Saccharomyces cerevisiae S288C: one gene and its partner. The gene in region 1 interacts genetically with each later gene. Each region holds a gene or a part of one and is shown in the gene's direction. Other genes may lie near its edges.

Region 1 (10,313 bases):
GTTCAGCTGGAATACCAGTCAACATGGTGGTGAAGTCACCATAGTTGAAAACAGCTTCAGCAATCTCAACTGGGTAGGTCTCAGTTGGATGAGCTGCTTGAAACAAGTAGTATTGAGCCAAATGAGCTCTGATATCGGAGACGTAAACACCCAATTCGACCAAGTTGACTCTTTCGTCAGATGGAGATAGAGTGGTAGTGGCTGGAGCAGCGGCAACACCGGCAGCGATGGCGGCAACACCGGCAGCGATTGAAGTTAATTTGACCATTGTATTTGTTTTGTTTGTTAGTGCTGATATAAGCTTAACAGGAAGGGAAGGAATAAAGACATATTCTCAAAGGCATATAGTTGAAGTATCTCTATTTATACCTATTCCTTCATTGGTCATCACCACTTAAACGATTCGTTAACATATCCTCATTTAGTACCTCACGCATTACATATCTCATCTTTCACACAATTTCATGATCACTATGAAGATGTTCTTGTTTTTAAACGAGGCATGCATCTTTATAGATTCTGTATGCGAAGGTATTGTTTTCTGGGGCCTTTGTCTATTCGTATGCGCCGAATGTGAGAATGCCAGTTATAGGGGTGCCGAGGTGCCTTATAAAACCCTTTTCCGTTCCTGTGATACTTCCATTTTTGGTGTAGCAGAATGTCTGAATTTAGTTGCTATAGATCCTCGTTCAGAAGCGTATTGCTAAGCCTATCTCCAGTATACCCTAAACGATCGCCGAGAAAAAATAATACTGTACCCTCTATTTCCCGGAATTGTACAGAATAGTAGATATGTGCTGGGAGTCGTATATTGTTAGAGTCTGTAATTTTTACGCGCGCCTAGTGGATTCGCTGATACGATTACGTTATTCTAAACCGTCGCAAAGCAAATTGTGTTGAAGTAATTCAAGACTTTAAATCACTTGCACCAAAATCATTGTTGCGAAAACTTATCCTCATTATTAGTTTCTTGACCGTAACAGTAGTTGAAAAAAATGAAATCATTTCTATGATCGATACACTTTCATTATTTAACTTCTCTATTATGGTGTAACTTCTTACTTTTGTCAGAAAAAAAGATTTCAAGACACAACAAGAATGGGGTCAAAGGTCTGCTTGTACTATCAGGAAGATTTGATACCAACCGCGTTATAAGGGTTACTAGAAAGTAATAGCTGCTAAAAAATTTAAACCGAAGAGATTAATCAGAAAGCTGAAAAACTGCAGTGTTAGTAGAGTTGTAAGCATTTCTTGATTGGAACAGCCTTCCCCCACACGTCCACCCTTGTTCAGACAGATTCGTAATGATTTTGTGTGTAGGCAATGGAAAACTTTAAAAACGGTTTGATTTCCTACAAGATAAAACATATGAATAAAATAACTTGTGTCAAATGCCCCATTTCCATACTGTAACCCAAATCAACGAAATAAAAAATAAAACCTCATATGATTTACTTTATTTAGTCATAAAAAAACAAAAAAAAAAAAAAGGAAACAAGACAATCCTTTATAGTTTGTTTCCATCATGAAACCTATGACCAGCATATATACAATCGTCCCCCAGTTCCTCTTCGATACGCAAAAGTTCATTATACTTGGCCAGTCTTTCTGATCTCGACAAAGCGCCCGATTTAATTTGACCACATCTTAAACCAACGACCAAATCAGCGATAAACGGATCTTCGGTTTCACCTGATCTATGTGATATCATTACACCCCATCCAGCATCGAAAGCCTGATTGGCGGCTTCAATAGACTCAGTCAGAGTACCGATCTGGTTGAGTTTCAGCAACAGAGTATTCGCACATTTCTCCTCTATAGCACGGGCGATCCTGGTCTTGTTGGTGCATGTCAGGTCATCTGCAATTATCTGAACATTGACAGTCTTTAGGAAGGCAGACCACGAGGACCAATCATCTTCGGCGTAGGGGTCTTCCAGGGAAATGATTGGGTATTTCTTTAGCAATGAATGATAATATTCTGCTAACTGAGCTGGACTGAGCCAGTGAGATGGGTCAGAGTTCGGTTCCTTGAAATTTAGGTCGTATTTCCCGTCCTTATAAAAAACAGAAGGAGCACTATCGATTCCTACTTTCACTCTACCCTCGTAACCGCATATGTTAATGGCTTTCACAATCATGTCCAAGGCGTCCTCGGCAGTGTCGATATCGGGGGCGACTCCACCCTCGTCACCAACATTTCCAGCGGAAGGTCCATATTGCTCCTTCGCCAATATCTTCAAATGATGGTAAACCTCCGAACCCATCCTCATGGCTTCTGCAAAGCTCTGAGCCCCGACTGGCGCGATCTTGAATTCTTGCATAGCTAAAGAGCCACCGGCGTGGGCTCCACCATTCAAAACATTGAAAAAAGGAACAGGAATAACAAAGGGGTCCTGTCTAGCATCCGCTAACTCGGCTATATACTTGTAGAGAGTAATTCCCTTTTGTGCGGCAGCAGCTCGAGCAACGCACAAGGAAACACCAAGGATAGCATTGGCGCCCAACCTTGACTTGTTAGAAGTTCCGTCTAACGATATCATGAGCTCGTCTATGCCCTTCTGATTGGTTACACATAAGTCGGACTTGATTAAAGCAGGCCCTATGATACTATTGACGTTACTGACTGCCTTGGTCACCCCTTTTCCCATCCATTCGGACTTGTTCCCGTCTCTAAGTTCAACAGCTTCGTGAATGCCGGTGGAGGCACCAGATGGGACGATCGCTCTGAAGAGACCATTCTCTGTTGTAATTTCAACCTCAACAGTCGGATTACCGCGAGAATCATACACCGTTCTAGCATGTACCTTCGTGATGGACATATTTTTATCGTTGAGATTCGATTTTTTCCTCACCTTGTTTTGGTATTTCTATTGCAAGACAAAGTGAAAGAAGAAGAAGTGGTGGTAAAAAATAACTATATATAATGAAAATTGTTACCTGGTGGGAATGCAAACTGTAAGTAATAACCTGCCAGATCCATGTTTCTATTATATACCTAAGAACCAGCCAAGTTAGGTAAACGAGGAGTCTTTCAATATCTCTTTTCTAGTGAGAATGTTATTTAGGTAAATGAACAAGTTACCACTATACTACTCACCCCCTACACTTTGTTTGTGACCTCTCCCCTTATCCAGTTCATCGAAACTTTTTTTTCAACTTGTGGATCTGTGACATTGTCTACAAGAGCCGATTTTGATGTCTGAACAAAAAACAACCTTACCTTTCCAGATGCAACTTTCCAGGAGAGCTGCGTGAGTTTCAAATATTTAACATGTCGGAGAAAGCTCCCAAGTACTTCCTTGTTCTTGTCATTTTTTCCTTATCTCCATCCTTTAAGGAAGCTATTTCCATTATGCGATTCTATAAATCCGAGCATGCGAGTATTTCTTTTCTTGGCGCGGAGTCGCTGATGACGCAATAGGCACATTCATGAACATCCAGGACTGGTAATCTTCTCGTCTTAAAAAAAATCCAACCACCAGTAAAGAAACTCTTGGGTAAAATGCAGTATCTGAAATATTGCATAGCTGCAAATGAAGATATTCAGTATCAGCATAGGTATTTTCATGAAGGATAGGTAAAAAGAAAGAAAAGAAAAATATCTTTTTGACTGTCATTCTTGCAATTATCACAATTAGGGGACTTTAAAACCGATACTTGATATATGAGCACAGTCAAGGGGCCGGTTCTTGAGATTTTAATGGAAAACAAGAAAGTTGCACATACAGGTCTGCTTTTCTTTGCTTGCTCCAGACAACGATACTTAGAACTAAAACATATTTCTAGAACACTTTTCTCCTTCATTCAAAAAGAAAACTGGCCTTGCAATGACTCCAAAAAGAGCGCTAATATCTCTTACTTCATACCACGGTCCCTTCTATAAAGATGGTGCGAAAACAGGCGTTTTTGTAGTTGAGATTTTGCGGTCGTTCGATACTTTCGAAAAGCATGGTTTCGAAGTGGACTTCGTTTCTGAGACTGGTGGATTTGGCTGGGATGAACATTACTTGCCAAAGAGCTTTATTGGTGGCGAAGATAAGATGAACTTTGAAACGAAAAATTCCGCCTTCAATAAGGCGTTAGCGAGGATCAAGACCGCAAATGAAGTCAACGCCAGCGACTATAAAATATTCTTTGCATCTGCTGGACATGGTGCTCTATTTGACTATCCCAAAGCTAAAAATCTGCAAGATATTGCATCCAAGATATATGCCAATGGGGGTGTGATCGCCGCCATCTGTCATGGACCGCTCCTTTTCGATGGATTAATAGATATCAAAACAACAAGACCATTAATCGAAGGCAAAGCTATAACAGGTTTCCCACTCGAGGGTGAAATCGCCCTGGGAGTTGACGACATCTTGAGGAGCAGAAAATTGACAACGGTTGAACGCGTTGCAAACAAGAATAGAGCCAAGTACTTGGCGCCAATTCATCCCTGGGATGACTACTCTATTACCGATGGAAAGCTAGTTACGGGTGTTAACGCAAATTCTTCCTATTCGACCACAATTAGAGCTATAAACGCATTATATAGCTGAAACAAAAGACAAGGGAATTGTTGAAGGGGAGGCTTCTAATGGCCTTCAGTTTCTGTGAAGAGAAGGCTAACAGCTCAATGGTTCGAAAGGTAAAGAAAACGGCAGATCGGTAGCACTCGATTTTGCTAGAATGGAAATCATATAGAGAACAATTGAATAGTAGGCCTTGGTTTTTAGTGTTGTACTCATCATGGTCATATGTGACATAGGTAATGTACATATATATAAAAAAAAAAAAAAAAAAAGCAATGCTGTGAGATCATTCGTTACTTACGAAATACGCAGATTGCAATTTGAAATAAGCTGTGTTTCCTTTTTTCTTTTTTTTTTTTGGCTTGTTATATACAACTTTTTTCTATTTCTGTTCTTTTAGGAGTAATTAATTGGTACATGGGAAATAAATATGAATTATATTAAATGAAGTAAAAGTAAAAGAAAACGGGGAAATTTATCGTTTCGTAGTAAATAGATGATGGACTTGGGCGACAAAATAAATCCTAACCTCTCGTTCTTAGGAATCAACTGCGTCAGCTTCAACCAATCACCCGACATTCTTGAGTCTCTACATCAAGCACTGCCAAATATGGCCTTGCTTGCTTATCCAAACAGTGGTGAAGTTTATGATACTGAAAAGAAGATATGGTTGCCAAATAGCGATAAGCTGAACAGTTGGGATACGGTTGTTAAACAGTACATTAGCAGCGGTGCCCGTATCATTGGTGGTTGTTGCAGAACAAGTCCAAAAGACATCCAAGAGATTTCTGCAGCCGTCAAGAAATACACGTAAATGCCTTTTTAAAGAAACTGGAAAATTCTTAACATTATACATATGCTAGGAAGCAGCATGTTACACTAAATACATTTTATAAACAGCACAAGAAGTATTGTTAATTAATTATCCTTGCCATGTTTTTTTAGAGTCACAAATGCTTTTCCGTACTTCGCCGACAAAAAACAGAGTAAACATCATATGTTTTATAATCTAAAGGAATCAACTAACAGTTCATCAGATGGGAATTTGGGAGAGTGCACAAGTAAGATGGGGTAAAAGAAGATAAATCTCCACCGGATCTAAACCTTTGCCAATAATCCTCACATGGTGGAGCTACAATCTCGCCTTCTCCGACCAGTCACGATTAATTAAATTGCCTAAAATTAACTTTTATATTCCCATACAGTCGATATTGCTAGCTCAAAAGGCGTTATATTCGAAAGTTGTATCCAAATATTCCATCTAATGTATTATTGGCAAAAGGATTCCGTGATCTGTGTTCCCAAGAACAATCATAACCTTGAAAAATTATTCGCCAATCATTACATGCGGCAAACTAAAAAGCCTTTTTTTGTTGGCTCCGTGGCTCTATTGTCGCAGCTGATAAAAGCAGGTGCCCTTGGATATTTTCGAGAAATATATGACAACTTATTGATGTTTTGCTGGATCAAGTTTACGTGAAGGCAAATTTTCATAAAAGTGTAAAGTATTAACTCTTGAAGGTGCAATAACTCAATGGGTTTTTTTACCTTACAACTCAGCACCATCTTATAATTACAAGGCTGTAATATGTGAGGCCTGGCCGAAATTTCATGTGAAACAATACATGGCTTTCCAAATCTACGCATTTTTAGAGCTTTTCGTGAATGTCGTTACGCTGCTCCCTGACTTAACAATCCCGTTAGGGTATCTACTTCAGAGCAGATTACAATATCAAGAATGTTGTTGGTAGGTATTTGTAAACTTGAATTAGAATCCAAAAAGCCTTTACTAGGAGCTATTTTTAATAGTGTTTATGTTTTTCTTCGAGTACTCTATGAGATGGAAAATTGTCGCCTACGAAAATTTAGTACCTTCTCTTTATCCCAGTGACAAGTTATGCATGCTTGTTATACGATGTTAAATCTTCACTTAAAATCCTCTGGAGATGTACCGATTCCGGTAGGTTTCACTCGAAATTTAGCATATTTCAGTTTGGTTTCCTAACACGACCAGTCGCAGGTGAGAGTCTTGGAATTATCCTTCAACACTGTGTGTTATTGTAGATCAGTAATTAAAGATCAGTGTAGTATTTTCAAATATTCTTTACTTCAGTAAGGACAGAATTTGTAGTGACATTTAATGAAGAATAACAAAGGGATATGGATGTCAGGCGACATTACTCGACGTAAATTACTCTCACGAAGGCAAAAATATAACCTAGCCATTGAGTCCTAACCTACTATTAGCGAGATCTTTCTCATTTCGGCTTTAGAGTGTTCATTTTAATACGATGGCCAAAATTAAAAAAATTCGGCCATCAGACCTTGTCGCTTTACTAAGAAGTTATACGGATGAAGATGAATTACTTGAATAAAGATCTTCACTCACTAAATGAAAACATCTGCAGCACGTGCTTGTTATGCTTAACTCCTTGTAAAAATAGTGTATTTCAAAAAATACGCAGTGACAGAGTAAAGATACCCTAACTTTTGTCCGTTGTCCTCCGGTTCCATCATTGCCAAACTAAAGTACTAAGACCATTATCGTGGGTAAGATCATACATTTAAATAAAATAAAAGATACGTAAGCACCTAGATTCCTGGGACAAGCAGCTCAAAATATTTGTTCCTCTTTCCTGTATGAACTGTCAATGCGTTGCTGCTTCGCTGCACGTATTAAGGATTTTGATGGAAGGTCCAACAAAGAAAAAGAAACGTGCGCTTTTAAAAAAAGAAGCTTTTCCTACCAAAAGTTCTTTGATCTGCTTATTCAACGTAGCATCTTATTCGCATACATTGGACTCATGTTTAAGGCATTCTAATCACACCAGTTTCCTTGCATATGAGCAAATATCTGTGCTTGCTGTTCTAACCATACGTACTACTACGTTGATTGGATTATAATGTCCTTTGGGTATTCTCCGATTACGTTGTCCCATTTTTCTTTTTTGCCTTGTTGCGAAGAGCGTTGTTCCGAAAACCGGGTGCACTTTTTGTTCACTTTATATATCCCACGAGGAGACTGCGCGAACATGATATGTTTGACCTGGCATAGTGCTATTGTTCATAAACAATAAGCCCCCTAAATACCTGCATGTACGAAGGTGTACGTACGGTCATTCGCATTTCCCTAGCATTACTTTCAGTACTGGACAGGTTATTTTTACCCCTCTAGTTTGCGACTACCACTAAATGGGCCATTTTTACGTGTCTACGACATATCGCAAGGGTTTTTTTCTTTTGTCTTATTCGAGTAATTATATAAGCGCGCGTAGTCATTTTTTTAGCGAGACCCTAGGGTCCTGTAGCAGTAATTTGAGGTTTTCATGGCTCGAACAACGACAAAATATTGAGGAATCTTGAGCCTTATTGGGGCGTAAATCACACAGGTGTTGAATGAGCTTGGAGCTTGTGCGGTTATGTATTAGATATGGGCAGTTTCCTTTAACGTTGGCGCCTCTTTCTTTCCTACCCGTGGGGTTGCTCTCGAAACTGATTAGGTCATGAGCATTTTTGCTGAGTCTTTTTAGGAAGCAGCATTTTTCTCAAACGAAAAAAAAAAAAACCAAAAAAAAAAATAAAGACAAAAAAACTATATAATGCTACTGGCCTTGAACTTGCTTGGTAGAAGCCTTCTTAATTGCACCCATTAGTTTAGCATCTACCACATCTTGATTCGATGCTCTTCATTTAGAAATACTTGTTTATATAAATATACTTCACACGGCATGAATTAATTGATAGGTAAGTAAGTTTCTTTTATCATAAGTCAAACAGTATCAGATATAAGAAGGGAAAAGGTAGATATAGAAACCTAATAAGACCCTTATTATTAAACATTCGTTAATCAAATTATGGGTAAAATTGCAGAGTTTCTCGGGAATCCAGGTGCTAGGCCTGACGTTCATCATAGAGCACCTACTGTTGACTGCAAACAGTACGAAGAATTCGGTGATTCTAACGATTACAAAAATGATGATGTGGTCAGAGTAGTCAGCCATAGCGATGAGAGTACTGATGACGAACTTTGTAATGTGAATTTAACAGAAACAGGGGCAATCTTCACGAGTAAAGGTTTTACCGGGTTAAGCAAAGGTTTCACAGATAAGACCCTGGATTTCCTGGTACGAGTGGCCGGTTCGCAGGCGGTTTTTTTTATTGTTTGGATCATCCTCATAATTTGGGTGGTTATTGGTATTGTTTATAACGCACCTTTCAATTGGCAAGTTGTTATGCAGGACGGACAGTCTATTCAAAGTTATGTTTGGGACACACTGTTGATGAGACAACAGTTGATGAGTACGCATGAACAAATTTTGATCTGCGGTAGATTGAAGTCGAGATTGGCTTCCTTCAAAAACTATCTAACAAGAAGCACCCCAGAGGAAGAAAAAGCAGACTGCACAGTTGAAGCTAATGAAGTCAGCTCTGTTGAAAATCATATAGACCCATCTGCCATTAACGGAGAACTGCCTGTGGAAAATTGGTACGACCGTTTATCTAACGTAGCAAGTAGGTATATGGGTTCAATTGCAGCAATGGTGATATTTTGGATAGGTATTTTCGTTTGGATTGGTTGCGGTGCTATCCCAAAAGATGCGGGCAACACTCCACCTTACACCGGAGAAACTACAGGTAGTAATCCAAGATTGAAAAAGTTCAGTGACGCTTGGCAGATGTATATTAACACTGCAGTTGCAGTTTCCCTTCTAATTTGCACTACTTTCTTACAAAATATAAGGGCTAGACATGATTATTTCACGGGGAGGTTTTTAGTTGATATCTTTGATATGGACGAGAAAATCGACTATCGTATAAGAAAGCATTTTAACGATTTTGAAACACCTCACCCAGTTGTTACTATTGAATCTAAAAAAAGGTCGACAGGGAGAAAGATGATTGATTGGTATGCTGATATTATTGGTACTGGTATTGGTGTCCTGATTGGTGTGGCAGTGTTCGCCACATGGATTGGTATTGGTTCGCCAATGAAGTGGGATGATAATTGGTGGTTGATTATCGGTACATACACAGGTTTAATTGGGTTTTTGGACGGTTTCGTTTTGAGAGAAGTGTACTTCCGAATCGTTCAACATGAAGAGAAAAATTATTCTGATGTGGCTAAAGAAGACCTTGAATTATTCCAAGAATTAGGTATTGAATGTCCCGAAGAATTTAGTGGTAAAGCTCCTGAAATTAACACTATTGGTTACAGAACATCCCAATATATTAATAGGATCTGCTCAACTCCATGGAGTGTTCTTGTATCCGTCATCATCATCATTGGTTTAATTTGTATTGCTTCCGGTTTGCGTTGGAGTACAACAGGTCAATTGATTGCTAACACGCCAACTATGATTATCGAAGAATTTTTCTTGCTAGTTTTGTTGCAAGCACATAATTGGGCCGATCGTCAAAGAAGAGTGGAGGTTACCGCTTTGTACGCACGTAGGCGCATACTTCTATCATACGTAGAAAAGCGTTTCCCAGAGGTTATGATGTTGGAAAAATAGCTTCATTGAACATTTTAGCATTAGTGGGAAGAATTCCTCATGTTACTTATGAGGGAGTTAATTTTCCTTAGGGATTTTAGGAATTTCTATACGGAGGTAGCGATCGACCTTAGAACTTTTATTTAGTTTGTACATATACCTCACCTGAGTTTTGCTTTTTTCTCTGGGAGCCTAAACCATTTAAAATGATATATAATAGATAATAAATCCAGGATAAAATGTGGCTAATTGATCTTTTTTCATTTTCAACTTGGTAATGACGTACTGGATACTTTCGACGCTCT
Region 2 (12,164 bases), on another chromosome or scaffold:
AGACGTACAAGAGGGCAAGGCATGGAGCCGCTATCAGAACGATTTACGTCACCTGGCCCGAACCGGAAAGGCACCGATGGTAAGGGATAGCATTAACATTGCAGGAAATTCTTACGCGGTTTTGAGAATTAACACCGAGATGCCCGGAAAATGGCTTTTACATTGTCATGTGGAGTGGCACATGATGAAGGGGCTTGGCATTGTCTTTGAGGTTCCGACAACAACCGAGGACAGTACCAAACAAGCAACTACAGCTGTATTATCGTACCCTACCAAGGAACCTGACCCTAACACTGTTGTCCATACAGCCGCACTTGAACAAAATAAGTCCAAGGTAATAGCCGTCTACATCCTAATCATGTGTGCGGTTGATGCTATCTTCTACTGGTTGCTCATGTAATCACATCCATTTCTCCCAACTCATTGCTTTTTTTCGCTTTTCCCACAGCCGTTTACAAGGCCGCAAAAAAGAAAACCCGCAAAGCTGACGGAAAAAGTATCGGCTAGCTTTCCATTGGCGACAATCGCCTCCGAGTGCGAAAACCTGTATTTCTCTGACTGCCGTAGGTCATATAGGATTGGGTCATAACGGTTTTTTGGAGACGAATCCTTCCCCTAATCGTGTTGGATAACATTACGGATCCGTGTTTTAGCTAAAGGAACAAAACAAAAATAAATAAAGGATAAGAAGAAGGATTCACTGATAATTAAGAGCTGTATTTTTCATTGGTTCGGCAGTTAGAAACAGAGATAGCATCAGTTCGAGTGTTCTTTGATATAGTAAACAGCGTATATAGAAAAGAATAAAGTGTATTGAAAGGCTCAAGAGAATTATAGAGAAAAAAACGAAGGATAAATCAAAAAAAGCGGTGTCTGATACAGTGCTCAATAGAAATACAGTTGCAAAATGGACCTCCCAACTGTTAATAGCACAACAAGCATTTCCGACAATGTGGATTTAAAGAACTACTATGAGGACTTGCTTTTCAAGAATAACAGCGGAAAATCGCTATCCGATTTACCCCGTAAACTGAATGATAACTCCAATAATTCAGGAAGTGATACGGTTGATCCGCTTGCTGGCCTGAATAATTTGAGAAACTCAATAAAAAGTGCGGGAAATGGTATGGAAAACAGGAGGACTTTTGACGATATTGATTTTATGGGTAGGTTTCCGTATTTGCCACCAGTGCCAAATCAACAACAGCAACCGTTTTCTCACCAGAACGGGTTCATTCAAGAACACCCTTCCAGTAATTTGACCTCTTTTCAAATGTCTTCGTCTAATTCAGAGCCGATGTCCGCACCGCCCATTTCATCCAATAACAATAATTTAAACTCTACTCAAATGGGTAATTATCAAGCTCAACAACGGTCGTTCCCGCAATTTAATGGAAATTCATTTCATTCAAATGGAAACGACCTAATGGGGAATCGGATGGATTCAGACTACATGCGTTTAATGAATAAAACAAACATAGGTTTTACTTCCAATAGCGGCAGCAATTTTGCTGCCCCATCACACAGTGCTGGCAACCCATCTAGTATGAACAACCAACAAGTACCATCATTTAATTGGCAACAGCCATCTCATCCAGAGTCTACCATTAGGAGATCCTCCTACATATCAGATACTCTAATCAACCATCAAATGCCTGACGCTCGGCAAAAGCAAACATCCCAAGTGCAGCAGCAACACGCTCAAGGTTTCAATCTTTTCAATAGCAGATTCAACTATGACAACTTGAACTCAACCCATTTGACCGCCAAAGGTGTGCCCGAGTTTGGAAATGGTGTACAACCTCCGTATCCTTATGATAACGAGCCTAATAATGCCAGTATCAGCAATAGTAATAACAACAACAACAGTCACAATATGGTTCCAATGCAACAGTTTCGCCGGAATACACAACCGGTAGCGAGCTTCAATCCATCCCTTCCTACTTTTCAACAACAACAGCAACAACCACAACAACCACAACAACCAAGAAACGTTAATGTACCTACTTCTTTCAATGGCGAACGTGTTGATGATGTTCAGCTTGTTCAACTTCAAAGAAGCAGTTCTGTCCCTTCTTCTACAAACTCACATAACCTTCAGAACGAGAACAGCAATGAAGGAAATGTATCTTTGGACAATGGTTTAGTTTTAATTCAGGGTAAACACTTGACTTCGTCCAAAACCTTACACGATTTATACAGCGACTGTGGCAGCGGCTATTTTGCTAGCTCTGCAGTTTTTGAATTCACAGATAATATTAAGAAAATGCTGAAGTTGCACGATTCTAATGAAAGTTACGACGCGAAGAACATGGGCTTAATCGATGAAGAAGGTAATACATACCAATCTTTATTAAATTTCTTGGACATTTTAAGAAGTTGCAACATGAATTACGTTAATGATCCAGAGTCGAATAATGGAATTGTTTCCAATAATGGAGGCAATAAAAATAGGAGGAAGGGCTCTTTCACAACAGAACTATCATGCAGGAATGCTAATAACTCCTTTTTACCTTATACACCATTGGTACTGGTTGCTTTGAAAAATGGGAAACTTGAACTACTATCTACTCCACAAGCTACCAATTTGTTGTTAAAGAGAGGTGACTTGGTTATTATTGATGGTGACCGTGGAAGGGATTTAGTATTGGTTGTTGAGCCCTCTGTCGATTTGAATTTAGCATTATTTATAAATTTTCTGAAAAAGAAAATTCACTTTGACTCTTTAATTACAAGTGAGTCACAGCACTATCGCAATGATGAGTTTATTCAAATGTTGATTGACTCAAAAAATGGGCAAAAGAAAAAATTAAATCCCAAATTGTATGATGTTGTTGAATTAACTGAGTTAATCATACCATCTAAACAAGTCTTACGTTTTGCCACCCCGTGGGAGGTAACAACGAATTTGCACAATAAATTTGAAGATGAATTAAAAGCCTTGCATATTGCTCAGAGTAAATTACAAGCGTTAAATGATAATTCAAAATCTCAAAATACAAATGACAGTTCTTCCAATAATTTTACGAATGCTGCAACTTATTCAAAGCCTAAATTGAATATCAAGATTTTAAACGCAGAATTCCAATTTGATAGAAAGAAATTAACGTTTTACTACGTTTGTGAGGAGAGAAATGATTTTAGAGACTTGATAAAAGAGCTGTTCAAATATTACAAGACAAGAATTTGGTTGTGTGCCATCCCGAATAATCTGTCTATTGATTCTAAGTATTATGATAAACAACAAAAAGAGCTGAAATTATATCAAAACATAGTAAAAAATTACAATGCTGAAGATTTAATGAATGTCAATGAGTTTTCGCAGAACAGGGGGAATAACAGAGTTAATTTTGCACCTCCGTTGAACGAAATTGAACTCGACAACTTTCAGATTGCTGTGTATGAAGAATTAGTTCACGAATTATTTCATTAAATGATCTGTTATTTCCTTGTTGTAACTATAAATTTTCTAAAAGAAAAGACAACCATTTGCCATTATTTTGTTAACATTTTTTCATTGTTTTTGTTTTTGTTTGTTTTTGTTTTTGTTTTTATTTTTGTCTACTTTTTTTATGTTATTTTGTTTTATCGTTTCTGTTCGTTGTTTACCTATTTTCCTGCCAATTCAATTTGGTACTATCTTTCTATTATCAATATTTTCTTTCCCTTATGTTTTTTTCTATATGAAAACTTCACAGGGAGAAATAGAAGAAAATGTTCATTATTCTGTTTAACTTTGATAAAAATTACTTATACGTCTCCCAATCATGGTTTCATGGTCACTGGTAAGGAAAAATTCGAAAAACTACGGGACTAAAAATTTTTTAAAGATTGTCCATATTCCTCGATCCACACTTTCAAGTTTGAGATTTATTGTTGGCAACTTTCTTACATTTTTGTTGTTTCAACTTCTATTTTATATTCTAACAGCCGCTTCCATTTATTTTTCATAGGCTTTATATAAAAAACAAAAAATAATGGAATCAACCAACCCTTATAAACTTATATGTAGTTTACATTTAATCAAGGTCTGTTATCGTGGCTATTGCTCTAATTCATTATTTGTCGACATGTATTGGTTGATAATTTTTGTTTTGGTTCACGCGTAAGAATTTTTTTTCTTGTAGTTGCCACGTGAAACCTGACAACTTATAGTCTTTAAGGGAAGAAAGAAAGCCATTCTTTGAAGTGATTTTACTGCTTTCAAGAGTGAGAAACTCCTACATCAACGCCTAAGGAAACTCGTCATATTCTACCAAGGATGATCTCTGTCATGGCGGATGAGAAACATAAGGAGTATTTTAAGCTATACTACTTTCAGTACATGATAATTGGTCTATGTACGATATTATTCCTCTATTCGGAGATATCCCTGGTACCTAGGGGCCAAAACATCGAATTTAGTCTTGATGACCCCAGTATATCAAAACGTTATGTACCTAACGAACTCGTGGGCCCACTAGAATGTTTGATTTTGAGTGTTGGACTGAGTAACATGGTCGTCTTCTGGACCTGCATGTTTGACAAGGACTTACTGAAGAAGAATAGAGTAAAGAGACTAAGAGAGAGGCCGGACGGAATCTCGAACGATTTTCACTTCATGCATACTAGCATTCTATGTCTGATGCTGATTATAAGCATAAATGCTGCCCTAACAGGCGCCTTAAAGTTGATTATAGGAAACTTGAGGCCTGACTTTGTTGATAGATGTATACCTGACCTCCAAAAGATGAGTGATTCAGATTCTTTGGTTTTTGGCTTGGACATTTGCAAGCAGACTAACAAATGGATTCTATACGAAGGCTTAAAAAGCACTCCAAGCGGACATTCAAGTTTCATAGTCAGTACCATGGGCTTTACATATCTTTGGCAAAGGGTTTTCACCACACGCAATACAAGAAGTTGCATTTGGTGCCCTTTATTAGCTCTAGTAGTAATGGTTTCAAGGGTTATCGATCACAGACATCATTGGTACGATGTTGTCTCTGGAGCTGTTCTAGCATTTTTAGTCATTTATTGTTGCTGGAAATGGACATTTACAAACTTGGCGAAAAGAGACATACTTCCTTCACCGGTTAGTGTTTAGTAACACTTACAGAGTCCTATCAGGAAAGAATAAAAGCCGATCAAGCTTCATTCTCAGGTAACAACTGGAGCACTGGCGAGCTTTGCTCTATTATATAAGATAAAATATGCACTAAAAGTTTGCATTTCTTTACATAACTAAAACTAAGACATTATGCATAGCTTACCTGATCAAAAAGTATGTAAACTTGTTAACATCTTCACATGTGATTCATCTGGTCGTACTTTCTTGCGGTGCAGTGTAATATTTCTACCCACGTGACTATAATTGAGCTTGAAAACTGTGGCGTTTTTCCACCGATGGGTCCACGCCAGATATTAACCGAAGCCAAAATACCGATGAAATTTCTGAGATAGCTCTTGTAAACGACGTCAAATCTTCATATGCAAGGAGATCTTGATTTCTTTTTGGTAGTCATCTGTCGTCTTGAGGCGTATAAGAAGGAGGTTATATCTGTCCTTTCTACAAAGTATTTTCGAGAATCTTGCTTCTGCCCCTTTTTTCTTTTTTTAAAAGGTTTAAAAAACATAACTGTCTTCAATATATCCAGTATTTACGACAATATACAAACATAATCATGTCCAAGAGCAAAACTTTCTTATTTACCTCTGAATCCGTCGGTGAAGGTCACCCAGACAAGATTTGTGACCAAGTTTCTGATGCTATTTTGGACGCTTGTTTAGAACAAGATCCATTCTCCAAGGTTGCCTGTGAAACAGCTGCCAAAACTGGTATGATTATGGTTTTCGGTGAAATTACCACCAAAGCTAGACTTGACTACCAACAAATAGTAAGAGATACCATCAAGAAGATTGGTTATGACGATTCTGCCAAGGGTTTCGACTACAAGACATGTAATGTTTTAGTAGCTATCGAACAACAATCTCCAGATATCGCTCAAGGTCTGCACTATGAAAAGAGCTTAGAAGACTTAGGTGCTGGTGACCAAGGTATAATGTTTGGTTACGCTACAGACGAAACTCCAGAAGGGTTACCATTGACCATTCTTTTGGCTCACAAATTGAACATGGCTATGGCAGATGCTAGAAGAGATGGTTCTCTCCCATGGTTGAGACCAGACACAAAGACTCAAGTCACTGTCGAATACGAAGACGACAATGGTAGATGGGTTCCAAAGAGGATAGATACCGTTGTTATTTCTGCTCAACATGCTGATGAAATTTCCACCGCTGACTTGAGAACTCAACTTCAAAAAGATATTGTTGAAAAGGTCATACCAAAGGATATGTTAGACGAAAATACCAAATATTTCATCCAACCATCCGGTAGATTCGTCATCGGTGGTCCTCAAGGTGACGCTGGTTTGACCGGTAGAAAGATTATTGTCGACGCTTACGGTGGTGCCTCATCCGTCGGTGGTGGTGCCTTCTCCGGTAAGGACTATTCCAAGGTCGATCGTTCCGCTGCTTACGCTGCTAGATGGGTTGCCAAGTCTCTAGTTGCCGCTGGTTTGTGTAAGAGAGTCCAAGTCCAATTTTCATATGCTATTGGTATTGCTGAACCATTGTCTTTACATGTGGACACCTATGGTACAGCTACAAAATCAGATGACGAAATCATTGAAATTATTAAGAAGAACTTCGACTTGAGACCAGGTGTGTTAGTAAAGGAATTAGATTTGGCTAGACCAATTTACTTACCAACCGCTTCTTATGGTCACTTCACTAATCAAGAGTACTCATGGGAAAAACCAAAGAAATTGGAATTTTAAACATTTAGACAATAAATGTTTTATTTTGATTTTTATAATTATTTCAATCCCTTTCTTTATGCTAGGCTGGTCCCGATCACCTCCCTATATTGAGAAGACGATGCCTTATCGTTTGATTCGCTCAACTCGAGTCATGTAATTACTAGAAAATGATACAATAGAAAAGTTTTAAACATTCTTAAACTTGACAAACACCAATAGAATAACATCTAGGCATAATGATCTATTTTGTATGGATTATGTATTAGCTCCTTCAACGGAAATATATAGAAAATATTACTTTATGTTTTTAGAACTTTTTGACGAGTTTTACCAGTTTTTTTCATGATGCTCCACGTGGTAATATGACTATGCTATGGAAATAAGGTTGAAATATAGAATGTCTTTGAGGTTATTTGGTCGGCCTCTTCCAGAAATACTGTTTATGTTTCTTCCTGCACGACCTTAATCGGCTCCTGCCTTTTAACGAATTATACAAAATCTTTCTCTCGTCGCTATCATCGTTTTCAACATCATAGTAATACTCGTCTTCTAATGGCTTGCCAGACGCATCTTTTCCTTCACGCACAATAATACCAATGCAAGAAATAGTCTCCAAGACCTTTTTTAGTTCATCTTTGCTTAATTGTGAAGTGTTGGAATTGATGTTTTGCAATTGGGATAAAGGCGTTTGTTGAAGGTTAGAAAATGCAAGATGATTACATAGCACATGAACTAGGTCATCAAACCGAATTCCTCTTTCTGAGAGCGACCGAGAAATTTCGGGAATAATATTCAATGAAGTCTTAAGACGTTTTTGTGCAGGAGATACAATCGCGGTTGTAGAAGACAGCTCTTTAGTTTTTTTTGCAACTGCTGCGAAAGATTCTTCTTCATTAATGCCACCACTCCTAGTACTGGCACTTAATGTCCCAATTATTTTATCTTTAGGAAGTGGTGTCTCTTGTATAGTGTTATTTTTCAATGAAATTGATTTACGCTTCAGTTTCTTTGGAGTTGATGGCTGATTAATAACGAAAGATGTTTGGGGTGTTGTTCTATAACTAATGGGGGAGTTTTTCACAAGAGCAGGAGATGCAATAAGTAATGGTTTTGAGATCTGTTCTGTACGAGGTGAATGCTCAACTGGGACAAATTTCATCGAAGGTGTTTCTTTTTGCCAAGAAAAATCATCGCTCGTTGTTGTTAATAAACACAACTCATCCTCCGTTTCTGTCGAGTTCTCTTCGTCAAAGTTATTGTTGCCATCGCCAGGATAAGGTGCTACTTTTTTCAATGAAAGACAGACTGTGACGCCTGTAAAATTTATGAAACTTCCTTGGATATAGGGGAAAGTAACAGTTTCACCTTTAGCCAAAACAAAGCTGATGAAGTTTTGGTTCTTTTGAAGAGTTTTTCCATGCGATTGTTTAGTATTTTGCGAGGTCAAAGGCTCTTCTGCCACTAGTTTATAAAAGTTCCTTGTTGGGAAGGGTTTTACCAAATGCAACTGCATGGAGTAAGGCAAGTGAACGGACAACCCATTAGTTCCATTACATTCCAATTTTATTTCATTTCTGTCGGCGGCGTATGAAATAAAAGCGTGCTGCCTAGAGATATTCTTTCTGCATGGCAAAATAATGTTGCAGACTGATTTTTTCCTACCGATGGCTAAACGTGAGGGATCCGATGCATCTAATTCAATCTCGATAGGGCCTGCAAGCACCTTTTCTTGCTTTGAAGGAGATGACAAGGCAGATTTGGTCTCATTTAAACGTGAAGTGATATCTTTCACTGGTGAAGATTGTCTTCCGATGCTAGACGACGGGTCTGGAGTAGGATACTCTTCCAATTCGTAATTATACCGTTTTCTTCCTAAGGTCAATACAGAAGTATTAGCAAGCTTACCAGGTTCTTTTTGTGGGCTTTCCAAAGGTTTACCAGCAACTGGTGATGATGGTGGGAAGAGATGGGACATAACCAAAATTGTGACGATTTTGTCGTGAAACTTCTAGCGAAAAGACTAATGAAATCGGCAAATATTGTGTAAATAGTATACCAAAAAAAAAAACGCTTCTATATATTGTTCCCCGTTGCTAGTAACGATAGAAACGGCAAATAAGGAGAGAAATTAAACTTTCTTGGGAGAGGCAGAAGTGTTTACTTATTCTTCTGAAACAAAAACAAACGCGAAAAAAAAATTATCGCGTTTGGATTATCATTATTTAGACATTAACACCTGTACATATTTGTATTTTAAAAGCCGAACATTTTTGGGTTCTATATCAGTTTTTTTTTTCTTCAAGCACTCCGTACACCACTAATATTATCACTGAGAATCTTCCTGCCACTTGCGGGAAGGATGAGATTGGAAACATGGCTGGAATAGTAAGCATAGGTTACTATAGAAAGCGGTAACAAAAAGCACTACTATGTGTAGATAAAGAACAAAGAGGTAAACGAATATATAAGTAAAGATGGGTAGTATGTACAGGAATTATTAATTGATGAGTCAACGTTCAATCACATCCGGTCTGATTTAGAGGATTACATGAGAAAGAAGCACTGAAAAAATTTTCCACCAGGAGAGGCCAGGTAAACTAAGACCTACGTTATTCACTATGCCAAAAGATTTAAAAATATAGAATGATGAATGTTGCCAGAGCCATTGATGATAAGAAATTGCACATAACGGATGCATAAAGAGCGAATAAAAAGATTTGAGTGTCAATACAAAAAGGTGAGAAGAAATAGTGTAAGACAGCAACACACATCTAGACCGCCAATGAAGTTGTTCTGAATCCAGCAGTAGAGTTTATTTAGTTCAAAGTTTTACTAACGATAATTAACTTTTATGTTTTCATTTTAAACAGAGGGTACTCCTTCATTCGGTAAGCGTCACAACAAATCTCACACCTTGTGTAACAGATGTGGTCGTCGTTCTTTCCATGTTCAAAAGAAGACCTGTTCCTCTTGTGGTTACCCATCCGCTAAGACTAGATCTCACAACTGGGCTGCCAAGGCAAAGAGAAGACACACTACTGGTACCGGTAGAATGAGATATTTGAAGCATGTCTCCAGAAGATTTAAGAACGGTTTCCAAACCGGTTCTGCTAAGGCTACTTCTGCTTAAATTTGATATTATCTATAAGTTTTGTTCTTTCCTAAAACGAAAATAATATAAATTATATATAGTTAATATTAAGCATTACAAGGTTTCTATAAAGCGTTGACATTTTCCCCTTTTGATTGTTGCCTTACAGTCCCATTGAGATATATAATGAATCGGCCTCCTCTAGTGTGGTTAGATCGAATGATTTTGACTCAAGAATAGTTCTTGCCATTTCTTGAAATTTCTCATCGTACTTTACTTGCATTATTCTCCCCGTTCTTTTATTCAATTGCATCTTCAATTCTTCTTCGATATATTCTGGTAAATCCTCAAAGGCATCTTCGTAATAAGAGGCTTGATCCTTTATCGTCAGATCATGCAAACTATCTACAAGGTGTCGATGATCTCTCATTTCTCTTTCGTTTGCTGTCACAGTTTCGGTTTGGCATACGAGAAACCTCCATAGTGACATAATCAATTGGCTTTCTACCTGCTTGATTTGTTCTTCACGCAATTGTTTGAAATGGTCTTTCCATAGCCTATATATTATGGTTAAAGTATGTTCAATAAGATGGCATCTGAGGTCCAAGTTCGGGGAGTCTTGTCCCACGTACCTTTCTATCATTAACGCTTGCTCCCTGGATAAGAATTTAGAGGAGTGGATGAGCATTTCTCCATTTACTATGGTCGCATCGTCTCCATAGATCATTAATAAATTTTCAAAAATATTTAAAACTTCATCTTTTAACTTCAAAAGCCATTTTTCCATCTTGTAACCTATTATAGGGGCAGTGAATTTGTCGCTATCCATCCCAATATCCTCTTTAGAAATTACCCTTGGGACACTTTGCAATCGGTCAGTATAAATCAGCTTTGATATCAATCCTCCCAATTCATTATCACCTATATTTCGGATTAACCCAAAAAAGTCATGGTACTTCGACATATGAAGAGTTGTAGTATCCACATTTTCATTATATACGTCGCCACTCTTAATTTCCTTTTCCAAAAGAGCGTATAATCTTGTAATACAATCTCTCCACCAACTACCGCTTATCAAGGATTTCAGATCTGAGGAATTGTCCATATTTAATATTATACTAGTGATAATATTAACGACCTCGACTGCACTAAATATTACATTTACCATTGGCTTGTATGAAATGGTTAGTGCTAGTTTGTAGACAAATTCAAATGATTTTAGAATATTTTCATCAAAAAATTCCATATAAGTTTGCTTAGGATGCGACTGCAGTACCCTTAATATACCTTCTAGGAGATCAAAGGAATACGAAATTATCAAATAGTCTATCAGTTCATATTGGAAAATCTGAGGTTCTACATGCAAATTCATATTTGATTCATGTATCGGTACTTTCAATACATGATGATAGATTCTTATTAAATCGCAAATAAAAAGAAAACAATCCTTCAGTGCTAAATTATGAGTGGCACTAGGACGAAATTGTACAATCTGATACATCAATGCAACGAGAAATGGGACAGCTAATTTCGATTCATTTGGATGAACTGATATTTCCTTGATCAAAACAGCTATATCCTCTAGCAAAGTATCTATGAACCTGTCGAGGGTCAACGTCTTTTTACATCGCAAAAGTAGAGAAACTATGGACTTCCCTATGGGGGCTCCTTTAGCAATGACGAAATTCTTAAATTTAAACTCTGTGATGTAGTCAAGCTTCAATCTATTTAATATTTCTATTGTGCTCAGGTCAGCGCCTATTATTTGATGAAGTAATATTGACTCTAGAAATAAACTCGTTTCATCGGGAATAATCCTATTTGGGTTTAGGGGAACCATATTTTTTTTCAGTAAATTATCACTTATCTTACGTTTTTTTGATTGTGGTGATTGAGGTTTTGCTTCGATTGCAACTGAGGACGAATCTGGCGTTATAGTGTTTGTGTTTGTTGATAATGTTGTTGACGGTGGTTTTACATTCGTAATAACTTCCCTTTTCGATTTTCCTCTCGCTTCCATCTGTAAGAACTTCTTCTCATCTTCCAGTTTCTGTAATTCTTGTTTTAATTTAGCCAACTCTTGAAGATGCTTGACTTGCAATTCATTAACTTTGACGGCTTGAATATTCTTTTCCTTTTCCCTTTCAATGTTCAAAAAGTTTATTTTATCACGAAGCATGCTTGCTTCACCTTGAGCTTTATTCAGTTGGTTAACCAGTTGGTTATCATTTTTACTCTGTTTATTGTTTAATGTGGTCGTTGTAACCTCCAAA

What was found.
Region 2: mutations in SNO4 (region 1) and SAM2 together harm fitness more than expected from each alone (negative genetic interaction), as found in Saccharomyces cerevisiae (one large-scale study listed by BioGRID).

Annotation. Positions count from the first base shown.
Region 1 is NC_001145.3:912,596-922,908, reverse strand, and holds SNO4 (glutathione-independent methylglyoxalase family protein), read left to right. Parts: upstream 1-3,829; coding exon 3,830-4,543; downstream 4,544-10,313. Other genes in the region: seripauperin PAU19, read right to left, coding at 1-268; phosphopyruvate hydratase ERR3, read right to left, coding at 1,508-2,821; YMR321C (uncharacterized protein), read left to right, coding at 5,013-5,330; YMR320W (uncharacterized protein), read right to left, coding at 5,858-6,163; FET4 (Fet4p), read left to right, coding at 8,371-10,029. UniProt on the Saccharomyces cerevisiae protein: Catalyzes the conversion of methylglyoxal (MG) to D-lactate in a single glutathione (GSH)-independent step. May play a role in detoxifying endogenously produced glyoxals. Involved in protection against reactive oxygen species (ROS).
Region 2 is NC_001136.10:1,447,964-1,460,127, reverse strand, and holds SAM2 (methionine adenosyltransferase SAM2), read left to right. Parts: upstream 1-5,663; coding exon 5,664-6,818; downstream 6,819-12,164. Other genes in the region: GMC1 (putative oxidoreductase), read left to right, coding at 1-400; PSP1 (Psp1p), read left to right, coding at 908-3,433; SPG3 (Spg3p), read left to right, coding at 3,434-3,817; phosphatidate phosphatase LPP1, read left to right, coding at 4,262-5,086; PLM2 (Plm2p), read right to left, coding at 7,210-8,775; 60S ribosomal protein eL37 RPL37B, read left to right, coding at 9,275-9,281, 9,671-9,930; LCD1 (Lcd1p), read right to left, coding at 10,055-12,164. UniProt on the Saccharomyces cerevisiae protein: Catalyzes the formation of S-adenosylmethionine from methionine and ATP. The reaction comprises two steps that are both catalyzed by the same enzyme: formation of S-adenosylmethionine (AdoMet) and triphosphate, and subsequent hydrolysis of the triphosphate.